Notamacropus eugenii: one gene and its partners. The protein of the gene in region 3 purifies or fractionates together with the protein of the main gene of each other region. This does not show direct contact. Links are inferred from orthologs where the notes say so. Each region holds a gene or a part of one and is shown on either strand. Other genes may lie near its edges. The genes, in order: NSF, NAPA and SCFD1.

Region 1 (4,000 bases), on a different chromosome or scaffold from region 3:
AAATAGGGTATTTTATTCAAGGAACAGCAAAGAGGGCAGTGTCACTGGATTCAAGAACCTATAAAGTCAAACTAATCCTGCATCTTTTTAAATAGGTTTGTTTACTAGACAAGTGGATCAGGAATATACCATAAACAGTTTTTTTCAATTTCAGTAAAAATATTTCATGAGATCATGAATTTAGACTTGTAATGGCCCCGAGGTCATCTATCCTAACCTCTTCATTTTATAGATGAGAAAACTGAGGCCCAGTAAGGTTAGGTGACTTGCCCAAGGTCACACAAGTAACCAGGACTTTTCCCATTTAACCACATGATAACCCTCCGAATAAAATGGAGAAATGTGAGCTGTAAAATCAACATATTCAAAGAGTGTTGACTAATGGCAACACTGTTACCAATGAAGTAAATAAAAATATAAGATGTGCTTATCAAATCTGTGGACAATACAGGGAGAAAAGCTAAAATGCCATATCTCCAAATCAAAATGAAAAAAATAACAGAACTGAACCAACACTATCAGATTTAATGGGTATACTATTGATTACAGGGACCATGTATTTTTTCTTTTTTGTCTCTTCCATAAGACTAAATTTTTTGATTGAATGTAAAATCCTGCACGAACTCAGGATGTGAGAAATTTGGTTTAACAGTTCATGTAAATAAGACCAAAGGGTAAAATAGTTCAGCAGGAACACAATGTAAGCGAATGTGACATAATCATAAAAATACCTAATGTAAACAGAGTGCAGTATTAAAATATAATGCCCAGTTTAAGGGTGATAACAAATTCCACTGTACTCTGCACGGAAGACACAATATCCAGGGTCTTGTGTTCAGTACCACAGCCACACACCTGAAGAAGAACAATGACAAAATGGAAATGACATACAGAAGAATAACCAGGTTTATGAAATATTTAGGAATTACATCAATTTGGAAAGTTTGAAATAAATGGCAATGCTTTAACATCTACAAGAAAAGGAGACATGGTCATTTTCTTCAAACGTTTGATGAACTCTCTTGTAGAAAAGGGATTAATATTTATTCTGTGAGACTCCAAAGGACATAAGTAGGGCAAAAGGGTCAAAGCTACAGCCATGCAGGTTGGTAATTTTCAGATTAATATAAATTAGAACGTCCTAACAAAGTCTGAAATGCTCAACAATGAATGGCAGAAGCTACTTTGTTACCTAATGAGTTTCCCTTTCATCGACAATGTTTCACTAGCGCCTGAATGAACATCTAAGAGATTGTTAGAGACATTACTGCATGAGCACAAGAATTCTACGTGACCTCTGAGGAGCCTTCCGATTCTAAGATTCTATGACCTGTACTTCTGGGGTGAGGCACATATATATGCCACACAGGTACATTCTAGTCATTGGTATATAATCCATTCCAATGGCTTAGCACAAGTAGCAACTCAGAAAAGCCCCTCTAAGTCCCTAATGACGAAGTTAATATTGCCCAGGTCTGCAGCAGGTGCAAGATGCACCATCGCCTCTGGGTTCTGCTACAGACTGTACTGCAGTACAGCCGCTCAGCACATAACCCAGCCGCATCCTCACCCAGCCCTTCCCACATTTACTCTGAGATAGGCTAAAGGAGGAAGTAGGAAGAAAAAGCCCCAAGCAGGGCAATGCACTAAGGCATTCCGAGCAGGGTCATTCATTAAGACAAAACACCTCCCCTCCCCCCTCGAACCCCGCTAAGTGAGATTCTGCACCAGCATCTTTCTGCCCCGCAAGGATAGTGACAGGTCACCCCCGCACAACCACGGCTCGAACACTGAGTCATTCTACCCTCTATCACCACCCCCACCTCACTCTCACACACACTCTGGCTCACACCGGCCCTGACAGGATGGGCAGCTCAGCGGGGTGGACAGGGGAAGCAAGGGGCACCGGCCGCTGCCCGGCTGGCCAGCAAGGGGGCTGCCGGAGCCCGGAGCGCAGCGCGGGGGGAGGGGGTTCTGCCGCCTCGGACCTCCCGAGGGGCGCCAGCCCCTTCCTCCTCACAATCGCTCCTCCAGCCCACGCTCCTTTCCCTGACTTTACCTGTAACCACCTCCTCCCCATGCCCCCCTCAATTTCTACCCGACCCTTGCCCCCCGGGGACGACAAGCCTTACGCAGAGAGAGGGATACCCGGAGCCCAGAGCCTGCCTCGACTGCCCCGCTCCCGGACCCTCACTCACCCGGCCCGCCATCTTAACCGACAAGTACGGCTCCCCAGCTGCAGCTTCGCCCGCCGCTAAGCACGCCCCCGCCGCGCAGCCGCAGAGCCGCAGAGACGCGGACGCGCGTGCGGCCACCCTGTCCCGTCGCCTCCGGCGCTCTCCCCTCCGCGGCACCGCTGAGGCCACACGCTCGGGAGCGCGCGCCGCCGCGGCTCGGGCTCGCGCTCACTGTGCCACGCGAGCGCCCCTCCCGAGCCTGGAGAGCTGGTGGTAGCGCTCCTCCTCCTCCACCTCCCTGCGGGCTGCAGCTCGGAAAATGCGCAGCTGCGGGAGGACCGCGGAGGAGGGCGGGGGAGGGGCTTCATGTCGTCATTTTGAATTGGAATCTGGAAGCTTCCTCGCCTTTGGACTGGGTCAGGCCCTTGTACCTCCCATGTGATGTCACTCCTCTAAACATAGAATGGCAGAGTTGGAAGGGTGTGGACCTCGGGTCCATCCAAATCCTGACTCCTAACTCGCTTTCTGTCCCCAAGTCCGCATGGATGAATTGGATTGCTACCAGAGGGTAGGCTTGTAAATGTTTAACAACCGGCTTTCTTTTTCAAATGTACCCAAGATACACCTTTAAGTTCAGTCTGTATTATTAACATTTTCTTCATCACTTTCTTAAATCTAGACAATCATCAAAACAATCAATCAAGCCCTGACTGGTGGCCAGAGCCAGTGGTCATTGGTTCCAGCTCGGTCCGGCGCTATTAACCTCCACCGGCCCTGTTTAACTTTTCTTTGTGCCGTCATGGAGTGGGGAGCCGGACAGGAAGATCGTGGTTCCAAGTCCTGCCTGACACCCAGGGGAAGTTTAGCTTAGAAGTTACAGAGAAGGTGCCCACCTGCATTTGTAGACAATGTTTCCTTTACCAGTGAAGTCACGGGTGTCATTGTATCCTCAACCCGATCAATCATGCTGTCCATAAGCAGTAAGGACCTGCCCCCTGCCAGGCACCCTGCAGAGTGCTGGCCCTGATCTCAGGCAAGCTCGTCGCTGGAACTGTGATTTCTGAAGATCCTTGACTTCATTGTGTGGTCACTTCACCCACACCTAAGTAGATGTCCCTTAAGAGCTGCTGCAGTAAAGACAAATTGTCACTCGGTGGCCATCCTCCTGGGGAGGAGCCAGGCGCTACCGACGATGTTGTTTGGTGGTCCTACTCAAAGCCTCATCTACAGAGCTGCCGCTAATCTCTCTCTCCTCAATTTATGTTTTTACTCAGACCCTTGTAAAATGTTAATTAGCTCCACTAAGGCAGGGACTGTTTCCATTTTCTTTGTATCCTCAGTGCCTTGCATATAATAAGTGTTTCATAGATACTTTTTTAATGAAGTTGAATTTTTGACACTATAGGACCTACTTTGTTCTCATTCACCCTCAGTATCCTCACTGTAAAATAGAAGTAAGAATATTTACATCATCTGTCTTGGGTTGTTATATTTCGGTCCTTCATTGGATCCATGATTTGTCTTTATGAGTAGTCCCTCTACCTGTGCAGATAGCAACTTATCCACACTTTCTTATTGAGTATGACTCTTGTTCATGTGCTCACGTCAATCCTTCATAAAGGATTTGCCTAGCATGTCCATAACATTCCATTAGACCATAGGATCATAGATTTAGACCTGGAAGGGACCTCAGGGCGGTCTAGTGCAATACACATTTTACAAAGGAGGAAACTGACATCCAGAAAAGTCTAATGACTTGCCCAAGGAAACACACGTAATTAGATGTCAAAGGCACGCTTTGAATCCAGACTTTTTTTAATTCC
Region 2 (4,000 bases), on a different chromosome or scaffold from region 3:
TCCTTTCCCATGGCCACAGATAAACAGGGTCAAGTCACTTGCCCAGGGTCACACAGCTAGAAAGTATCTGAGGCCAGATTTGAATGAACTCAGGTCCTCCCGATTGCGATTGCGGTGCTCTAGCCATTGTGCCCCCCCAAGTTATCAGTATAGAGATGGTAATTAAATCCATGGGAGGGAATGAGGTCACCAGGTGAAGTAGCACAAGGGGAGAAGGGAAGACAGCCCAGGCAGGAACGCGGGGGTCAGAGGGCACGATGTGAAGGAGGATCCAGCAAAGGAGAAAGAGGGATCAAGAAAGGGAGGGACAGGAGGAGAGTGCTCTGCAGGGCCAAGGGCTGCAGAGGTCAAGGAGAATGAGGACTGAGGAAAGGCCACTGGATCGGAGATCATCAGTAACTTGGACAGCGCGGTGTTGGCATGATCAAGTCTGAGGCCGCGCTGTCGGGCTCTAAGAGGACAAAGTGGGGCCCCAGGATGGCATGTTTGTGGGCGCAGGGAATCATCCCCTAGAGAGGAAGGGATGAAATGGGATCAGCCTCGTGGGGAGGGCAGTGATGGAGGAGGGGGCAGGAGGACCTGCGTGATGCCGGTGAGGAAGAGGGAACTCACCGTAGCTTCAGCCTTCCCGGAGAGGAGGAGGTAAGGCTCTCGAGCTTGGGGCGGGCCGAGACATCAGGGATGGAGGGGGGGCGGGCCGGCAGCACCCACCGAGGGCCCAGCTCGCGTCAGAGGAGCTGCGGGATTTCCTCCACCTCCCTTCAGCAGCCCGGGGCAGCCGCTGAGCAGAGGACGCCTGGGACAGGCAGTGGGCACAGAGCCTCCCTGGAGGCGCCGGGCAGTGTCGGAGGAGGAGGTCAGCCTGGGCCGAGGCGGGAGGAGGCGGTCGCTGGCTCTTTCTGTCTCCTGATCCGTCACGTGAGGGAGCAGTCCCTCGGTCCGTCTCCGGAGCCCAGGTTCCCAGGAGGGCAGGAGCCCCGTGCCTGGGGCGGGCCGGGAGGGGGCCGGGCTCCCCTTCTTCCTGGTGACGCCGGAGCGGAGTGGGGAGCTCGGCCGGAGAGCCCCGCCTTCGTGCCCTGGGACACTCCGGCCAGCGCAGAGAGGGCCACGTGGGGCCAGTCCTCCGCAGTCGCTTTCTGCCCTTGGCGACGGCGCACTCAGAAAGCAGCTGCTCGGCTCTCCGCATGCGCCCTGTGGCCCCCTGGGACCTGGGTCTTTCACCTTCATTCCCTGGTTTGGTCAACAGAGGGAGAAGACCCAGTAAACAGGCCCAGCAGCCTGAGCATGCGCCTTTGCGTGGTGTTCCAGCGGCCGCGCAGGCGCATTTCATTGTTTCCTCGGCCCACCTCGACATGCCATGACAGCGCCTATCAAAGACGCACGCTTACCCTCCCCTAGCGCACGCGCAATGGGTGGAAAATCCTTCCTACCCCTTTTCTTCGGGTAACCACAACATCCGGGGCAAGGGGGGCGGGCGGGAGGCGAGGCATCGGGATGGGAGGGGTGAAAGTTAGGAAGTTGTCACCTGATGCTAGGTATCTTGAGTCACGTGCTGCAAGACCGACGGGAGGCAGGTCTGGCGAGAGGACGGCGGGCAGGGATTGGCGCACAGGAGTCACGCGGCTCTACGAGGCTGGAGGTGGAGAAAGGGGGTGTGCGTTGGGGCGGGGCCCACCGGCTCGAGGGGTCGGTGATTGGCCAATGCGGATCACGTGCCTCGCGTCTGCCGCCGTCCTCCGTCGTCGTCGGTCGTCTTAGCCCTCCTCTGTTGTGGTTTCCCGGCTCTGCCCTGCCCCTGTGCCCCCCGAGACTCCGGCCGCTTCCCCGCCATGGACAACTCCGGCAAGGAGGCAGAGGCGCTGGCTCTGCTGGCCGAGGCCGAGCGCAAGGTCAAGAACTCGCAGTCCTTCTTCTCCGGCCTCTTCGGGTGAGAGCGGCCGGCCGGGGGGCGGGCCAGGGAGGGGGCGGGGAATGAGGGGACCCGGCCTGGGACTGGGGGGGTTGGGGAATGAGGGGACCCGGCCTGGGACTGGGGGGCGGGGAATGAGGGGACCCGGCCTGAGACTGGGGGGGTTGGGGAATGAGGGGACCCGGCCTGGGACTGGGGGGGTTGGGGAATGAGGGGACCCGGCCTGGGACTGGGGGGCGGGGAATGAGGGGACCCGGCCTGGGACTGGGGGGCGGGGAATGAGGGGACCCGGCCTGGGACTGGGGGGCGGGGAATGAGGGGACCCGGCCTGGGACTGGGGGGGTTGGGGAATGAGGGGACCCGGCCTGGGACTGGGGGGCGGGGAATGAGGGGACCCGGCCTGAGACTGGGGGGGTTGGGGAATGAGGGGACCCGGCCTGGGACTGGGGGGGTTGGGGAATGAGGGGACCCGGCCTGGGACTTGGGGGGTTGGGGAATGAGGGGACCCGGCCTGAGACTGGGGGGGTTGGGGAATGAGGGGACCCGGCCTGGGACTGGGGGGCGGGGAATGAGGGGACCCGGCCTGAGACTGGGGGGGTTGGGGAATGAGGGGACCCGGCCTGGGACTGGGGGGGTTGGGGAATGAGGGGACCCGGCCTGGGACTTGGGGGGTTGGGGAATGAGGGGACCCGGCCTGAGACTGGGGGGGTTGGGGAATGAGGGGACCCGGCCTGGGACTGGGGGGCGGGGAATGAGGGGACCCGGCCTGGGACTGGGAGTGGGGTGTGTGAGGAGGGGCCCTGGGAGGGTGATGAGGGCCCCGGGGAAGGGAGTCTTTGGCTAGTGGAAAAGGGTCAGCCCCGGGGATGAAGCCAGACAGCTGCTGCTGGGGGGGAAAGGGTTTGGAGCCTGATGGTCTCTGTTCCCATCCAGGCTCTCCCATTTACTAGCTGTGTGACTGTAGGCAGGCCCTGTGACTTCTGTGGGCCTCAGTTTCCTCACCTGTAAAATGAGAGGATCCTGCGGGCAGTAAATATTTGATGCCTTGGAGAGTTTAAGGAGGGGAACGTAGGACTGAAGAATGTGAGGAGGGGATATTGGGGTACCAGGCAACTAAAAACTAAGGAAGTGGAGGGATGGAGAGTAGGGAGAGAGGGGGAGGGTGTGTGTGGTGGGCATGGAGAATTGAGAAGGGAAATAACTTGATTGTTTGTGCCTTTAATTTCTTTCCACTTCTCTTTTCTCCCTCGTGAATTCCTTGAAAGCAAGAAATGTGTCGCTTTTAATCTTTGTAGTTCAGGGAACTTCCAGAACAATTGTTCATAATAAACTTTGGTTGCCTTGATTTGAAAGAGGTAAGGAATATGGTCTAAAGCAGGGATGGAGAACTGTGGCCTCGAGGCCACATGTGACCTCCGAGTCCTCAAGTGCAGCCCCTTGGCTCAATCCAAACTTTATAGAATAAATCCCCTTATTAAAAGGATTTGTTCTGTAAAACTTGGAGAAGGTCAAAAAGCCATACCCAAGGACCGAGAAGGCCACATGTGGCCTTGGGGAACAGCTTGCTGGCGGGCACAAAGAAAAAAGACTTGGAAGAAAAACTGAGGAAGAGGGGCTAGAAAGTATAGAAAGCTGTATTAAGAAGGCCTGCAGTATTGGAAGACCCTGGAATGGGGGCACTAGATCTGGAAGAAAAAGTGGGGAGGAGAATATTCAGATACTTGGACATGGGAAACAGTGAGAGCCGAGAACTGGAAGTGGAGAGAAGCTGGGGAGTGGGGAAGTGAGTGTTGACAGTTACGTGTCTGGAATTCCCAACTCCCTGCATTGGACAGGGATTTGTTTTCCCACTTATTCCCAAGAGAAAAAGTTAAAGTTTAACTTAAGGGGAGGGTCACGGTGAGACAGTTCCTTGGAGGATTTCGTTTACCTTTTGCTTGGAGTGTTGAGGCCTTGTAGCCTGAAATGTGATTTGAGGTCTCAGTTTGATAGGTCCTGCCTGAATACCAGTCCTGTGGTCAGCCCTGCTTGTGCCAGCCTGTACTGGGGGGAGGGAGACACCAGCTGATCATGAGGATTTCAGATCATAGA
Region 3 (4,000 bases):
CTCAAAAAGGCTTTTGAAAATCAACTAAGAGAAGTAAAGGAAAAATTGAGAAGTGATACAAGAAAATCATGAAAAATGAGTCAACAATTTGCTAAAGGAGATCCCCAAAAATACCAAAGAAAGTAACACTTTAAAAAAAAATTGACTAGGCCCAACGGCAAAAGAGGTTCAAACAGCCAATGAGGAGAAGAATGCCTTAAAAAACAGAATTGGCTAAATGGAAAAGGAGGATCAAAAGCTCACTGAAGAATATAATTCCTTAAAAATTAGAATGGAGCAAATGGAAGCTAATGACTCTATGAGAAATCAAGAAATTACAAATCAAAACCAAAAGAATAAAAAAATAGAAGACAATGTGAAATATCTCATTAGAAAAACAACTGGCCTGGAAAAATAGATCCAGGAAAGATAATTTTAAAATTATTGGACTATCTGAAAGCCACGATCAAAAAAGAGCTTAGATATTATCTTTCAAGAAATTATCAAGGAAAACTGCCCTTTTATGCTAGAAACAGAAAGTAAAAGAGAAACTGAAAGCATTCACTGATCACCTCCTGAAAGAGATCCCAAAATGAAAACTCCCAGGAATATTATAGCCCAATTCCAGAGTTCCCAAGTCAAGGAGAAAACACTGCAAGCAGCCAGAAACAATTCAAGTATCATGGAACCACAATCGGAATAACACAAGATTTAGCAGCTTCCACATTAAGGGATCAGAAGGCTTGGAATATGAAATTCCAGAGGTCAAAGTAGCTAAGATTAAAACCAAGAATCATCTACTCAGCAAAACTAAGCATAAGCCATGGGGGAGAAATGGACAATTAACAACAGGAAGTGAATGTTGAAAACTAAAAATAAATTTTTAAAAAGGAAAAAACAAGAGAAAAAAATACATCTTCAAACTTCAGCAAAATCTTTTAACAGGGAACTACGGAAACAGCAAAGAACTGGAAGGGAACTTAGGAAGTCAAATATCTTTATAGACGGGGAAACTGAGGCCCAGAATGAAAGTGTATTTAACCTAAGGTTACACAATAAGTGACTAAGCTAGAATTGAAAGCCAAGTCTCTGGCCTCTGATTCATAATCCAGAAGTTCTTTCTACCACAGCAAGATGTGTTTCCTGCGTGAAGCTCATTAGAGGAGACAACCAAATCTGACTCCAGCTGTGAGCAGGAGATGGTAAAAAGAAGAGGCAATTTTATCAATTACTAGGACGCTCCATCATGGTCCCCTAAAGCCCTCGGCACAATTTTCCTGAGAAAGGGCTTTGCAAAATGCGTTTGGAAGACAGCAAAGTTCAAAGCAAAGTCTCAGGCGCAGTCTGGAGGGGTTACTAAAAATGGCTGGACAGTTCTAGCATTTGGTAATAATGGATATATGTGTATATGTGTGTGTATATAGATATATATGTGTGTGTGTGCATGTATGTATGCATACATATATACACACTCATACATATATATGTGCATATACATATATATCCAGCAGTTGGTAAAATGGACTTTAGAATGCAAAAGTGAGGATAAAATTATAGATCTGAGACTCAGCAGCAGAGACAGGGTGAAACTGAAAAGGGAGAAGCTAAGCTTATCAAGAGAGCAGAGAGAAGGGAGTCCAAAACAAATCCCTGGGGTTACATTTTTCAATCTCATGTCTCCCACATCCTCCATAACGCTACTGTTCTCTGGCTAGACTGTCTACTCACTGTACTTAAAACATAGGATAGGGTTTGCTGAGTGAATAATAAAAACTTCACACATCTGGTAGTATATTAGAAAGAACACTAAATTTGAAGTCTAAGAATCTAGGAATTAATCCTAATTTTGCTACTCCTATTAATGAAACTTTGGCAAGTCTTTTACACCCTGTGATCCAAAGACCAGATTACTCGTTAAAAAGTAGGAGGAAGGACGCACGAAAGGGCAACAGATGCCAGAAACCACCAGCGTCTTCAGTGCACCCGCGGGAGGTCAGGTAAGTTGGTGAACCAAGGCCATCAGCAGGCCCACCTGATCCTGGAAACACGCCCCTGGGTGTAACGCCCACGTAGGTCCACCAGCCGGCCAAACCCCCCGAGGGCGTGGGAGGTGGGAGCCCCCGCCACTGAGCACCTCCGGCAGCGACCCAAGCAGCGGCGGCAGCAGCGTGCCCCCCACGGACAAGCGCCCCTGCCCGACCCCAGGACGCCCGTCCCCCTGAGCGGGCGGATGAATCCGTGCACCGGGGGACCCCTGGGGACTCCTCCCGGCTCCGGGAGGCCCCGCCAGGGCGCAGAGGGGAAGCCGGGTGGCGGCCGCCCGCAGGCTGGGAAGGTGAGCGCCGGGGGCCCGAGTCCGGAGGGGTGAGGCGCGGAGCGGAGCGGGCCCGGGGCAGGAGCCGGGGCTGCCCGAGCCGAGCCGAGCCCGCTCCCGCCGCCCCCGCGGTGGCAGGGCCAGGCCGGCACAGCCCGGCCCAGGGCGGGGGGGAGGAGGAGGAGCAGTGCGGGGGCACGAAGCGAGCGGGTACCTGTCTGCCTCTCTCGGATGCTGGCTGCAGCCGCGGCCGCCATCTTGACTCCCACCATTCACCGCCGGCCCGAAGCCCGGAGCGGCAGGATGACGTGGCTGCCCCAACGCCCCCGGAAGGAAAGGGGGCGGGAAGCGGCGCGGCCGAGGACACGTGGCCCGCCGGCCCCGCCTCCTCTGCGTCATGGGGTCACGTGGCTCCGGGCCCGCGCTGCGCGCGCCGAGATTTTTAAAATCCCCGGATGGGGCCGTGCTGCAGGGTGGGAAGCGGGTCGCTCGGGGAGGGGGGGGCTGTCACGTGTGTGGCAGGTGATCCCACGAGTTAATCGTCGGCCTTTTGGCCTTTTCCCCTTCGGTCGTGGAGACTCCAGACGGTGCTAAAGCAGACCCATCCTTGTGGGAAAGTGGGGGAGGGGAAGGATGCCTCGAGAAAAAGGTGCGTGAATTTATTTAACTATTATTTTACAAATCACCCCAAATCAGTTTTCAGTTTGAATCCTTAGAGTTTATTGCACTTCAAAAAATGGGTACATATGACAGTTCATCTCCCGTAATCAATGGATCAACACTGACGTACTGCTCAATCAGTTCTGAAGCTTCACCAGAGTTGGCAGTGTACATTTTAAATGGCTATTTACACACCTAAAACTTACAATAAAATTATGGCCGCTATTCAAATGTAGCCATCCTTTTTTCCTACCGGCAGCTGTTTTTATTTTCCACACCCACGGTTGAGTGAAATCACAAAACGCTCCTGGTTACCTGTCCTAGAAATGACCCAATACTGAAGAAAAATGACGCTCCAAAATGCTTGCTAGTCCTACTCTAAGTAATCTTTTAAGTGGCCTGAACGTATTCACTGATATTTTAATCTGCCCGCCAGAGATGGAAAACTGAACAGCCCACACAAAGGTCACGCGTGAACGTGTAACACCCTTTGACCATTCTGCGGACCCCCACTGGGAATGTGAGTCTGCTCCTGCCCACCCGCCCCTCTCACTTGGGCTGTGTAACAGAAACATGCGCAAAAGGACACCTTTACAGGCCGTAAAATACAGACAGACAGACAGGCTGAATACTGTACCACGATAAGAAACAGAATTATGAGATTAAAGGTAATAATAAAGCATGCACAGTGCTGTACAGTAAGGTTAACAGGTTCGCCCTTCCCCCATCCACTGAACCCAGCCTTTCCCTTTTTTCAGTGAAGCTATCTAAATGTTGGGACAGTTGCTCTCCTTTCTCCCTTAAATATACATAATGATAGCAAGCAATTTAATCCTCAGCTTGCCTTGGAACTTGTAAAAATCTTGAGGTATTTGGATCTGTCTTTTCAATACAAGAAAAATTCACTCCAGTGATGAAATGCTTGGGAATCTTTTTGGTCTGATCTGGGGTTTCCCAGCTTCCTTTTCTTTTTCCGCAATCTTTGCAGCTAACCACTCAATCAGATCATAACTCAGTCAGCTCCTCCACATCCTTCTCTTCCGCCTC

The links.
Region 1: the proteins of SCFD1 (region 3) and NSF purify together in Homo sapiens (affinity purification with mass spectrometry; 3 studies listed by BioGRID and IntAct, with this or other methods). This does not show direct contact. The link is inferred for Notamacropus eugenii from reciprocal best matches to the Homo sapiens genes SCFD1 and NSF.
Region 2: the proteins of SCFD1 (region 3) and NAPA purify together in Homo sapiens (affinity purification with mass spectrometry; 3 studies listed by BioGRID and IntAct, with this or other methods). This does not show direct contact. The link is inferred for Notamacropus eugenii from reciprocal best matches to the Homo sapiens genes SCFD1 and NAPA.

Annotation. Positions count from the first base shown.
Region 1 is NC_092873.1:347,525,690-347,529,689, reverse strand, and holds the start of NSF (vesicle-fusing ATPase), read right to left. Parts: upstream 2,509-4,000; 5' UTR 2,211-2,508; coding exon 2,199-2,210; intron 1-2,198.
Region 2 is NC_092876.1:29,451,329-29,455,328, reverse strand, and holds the start of NAPA (alpha-soluble NSF attachment protein), read left to right. Parts: upstream 1-1,608; 5' UTR 1,609-1,829; coding exon 1,830-1,927; intron 1,928-4,000. Other genes in the region: uncharacterized protein, read right to left, coding at 620-1,354. UniProt on the Homo sapiens protein: Required for vesicular transport between the endoplasmic reticulum and the Golgi apparatus. Together with GNA12 promotes CDH5 localization to plasma membrane.
Region 3 is NC_092878.1:47,288,834-47,292,833, reverse strand, and holds the start of SCFD1 (sec1 family domain-containing protein 1), read right to left. Parts: upstream 2,644-4,000; 5' UTR 2,566-2,643; coding exon 2,508-2,565; intron 1-2,507. UniProt on the Homo sapiens protein: Plays a role in SNARE-pin assembly and Golgi-to-ER retrograde transport via its interaction with COG4. Involved in vesicular transport between the endoplasmic reticulum and the Golgi.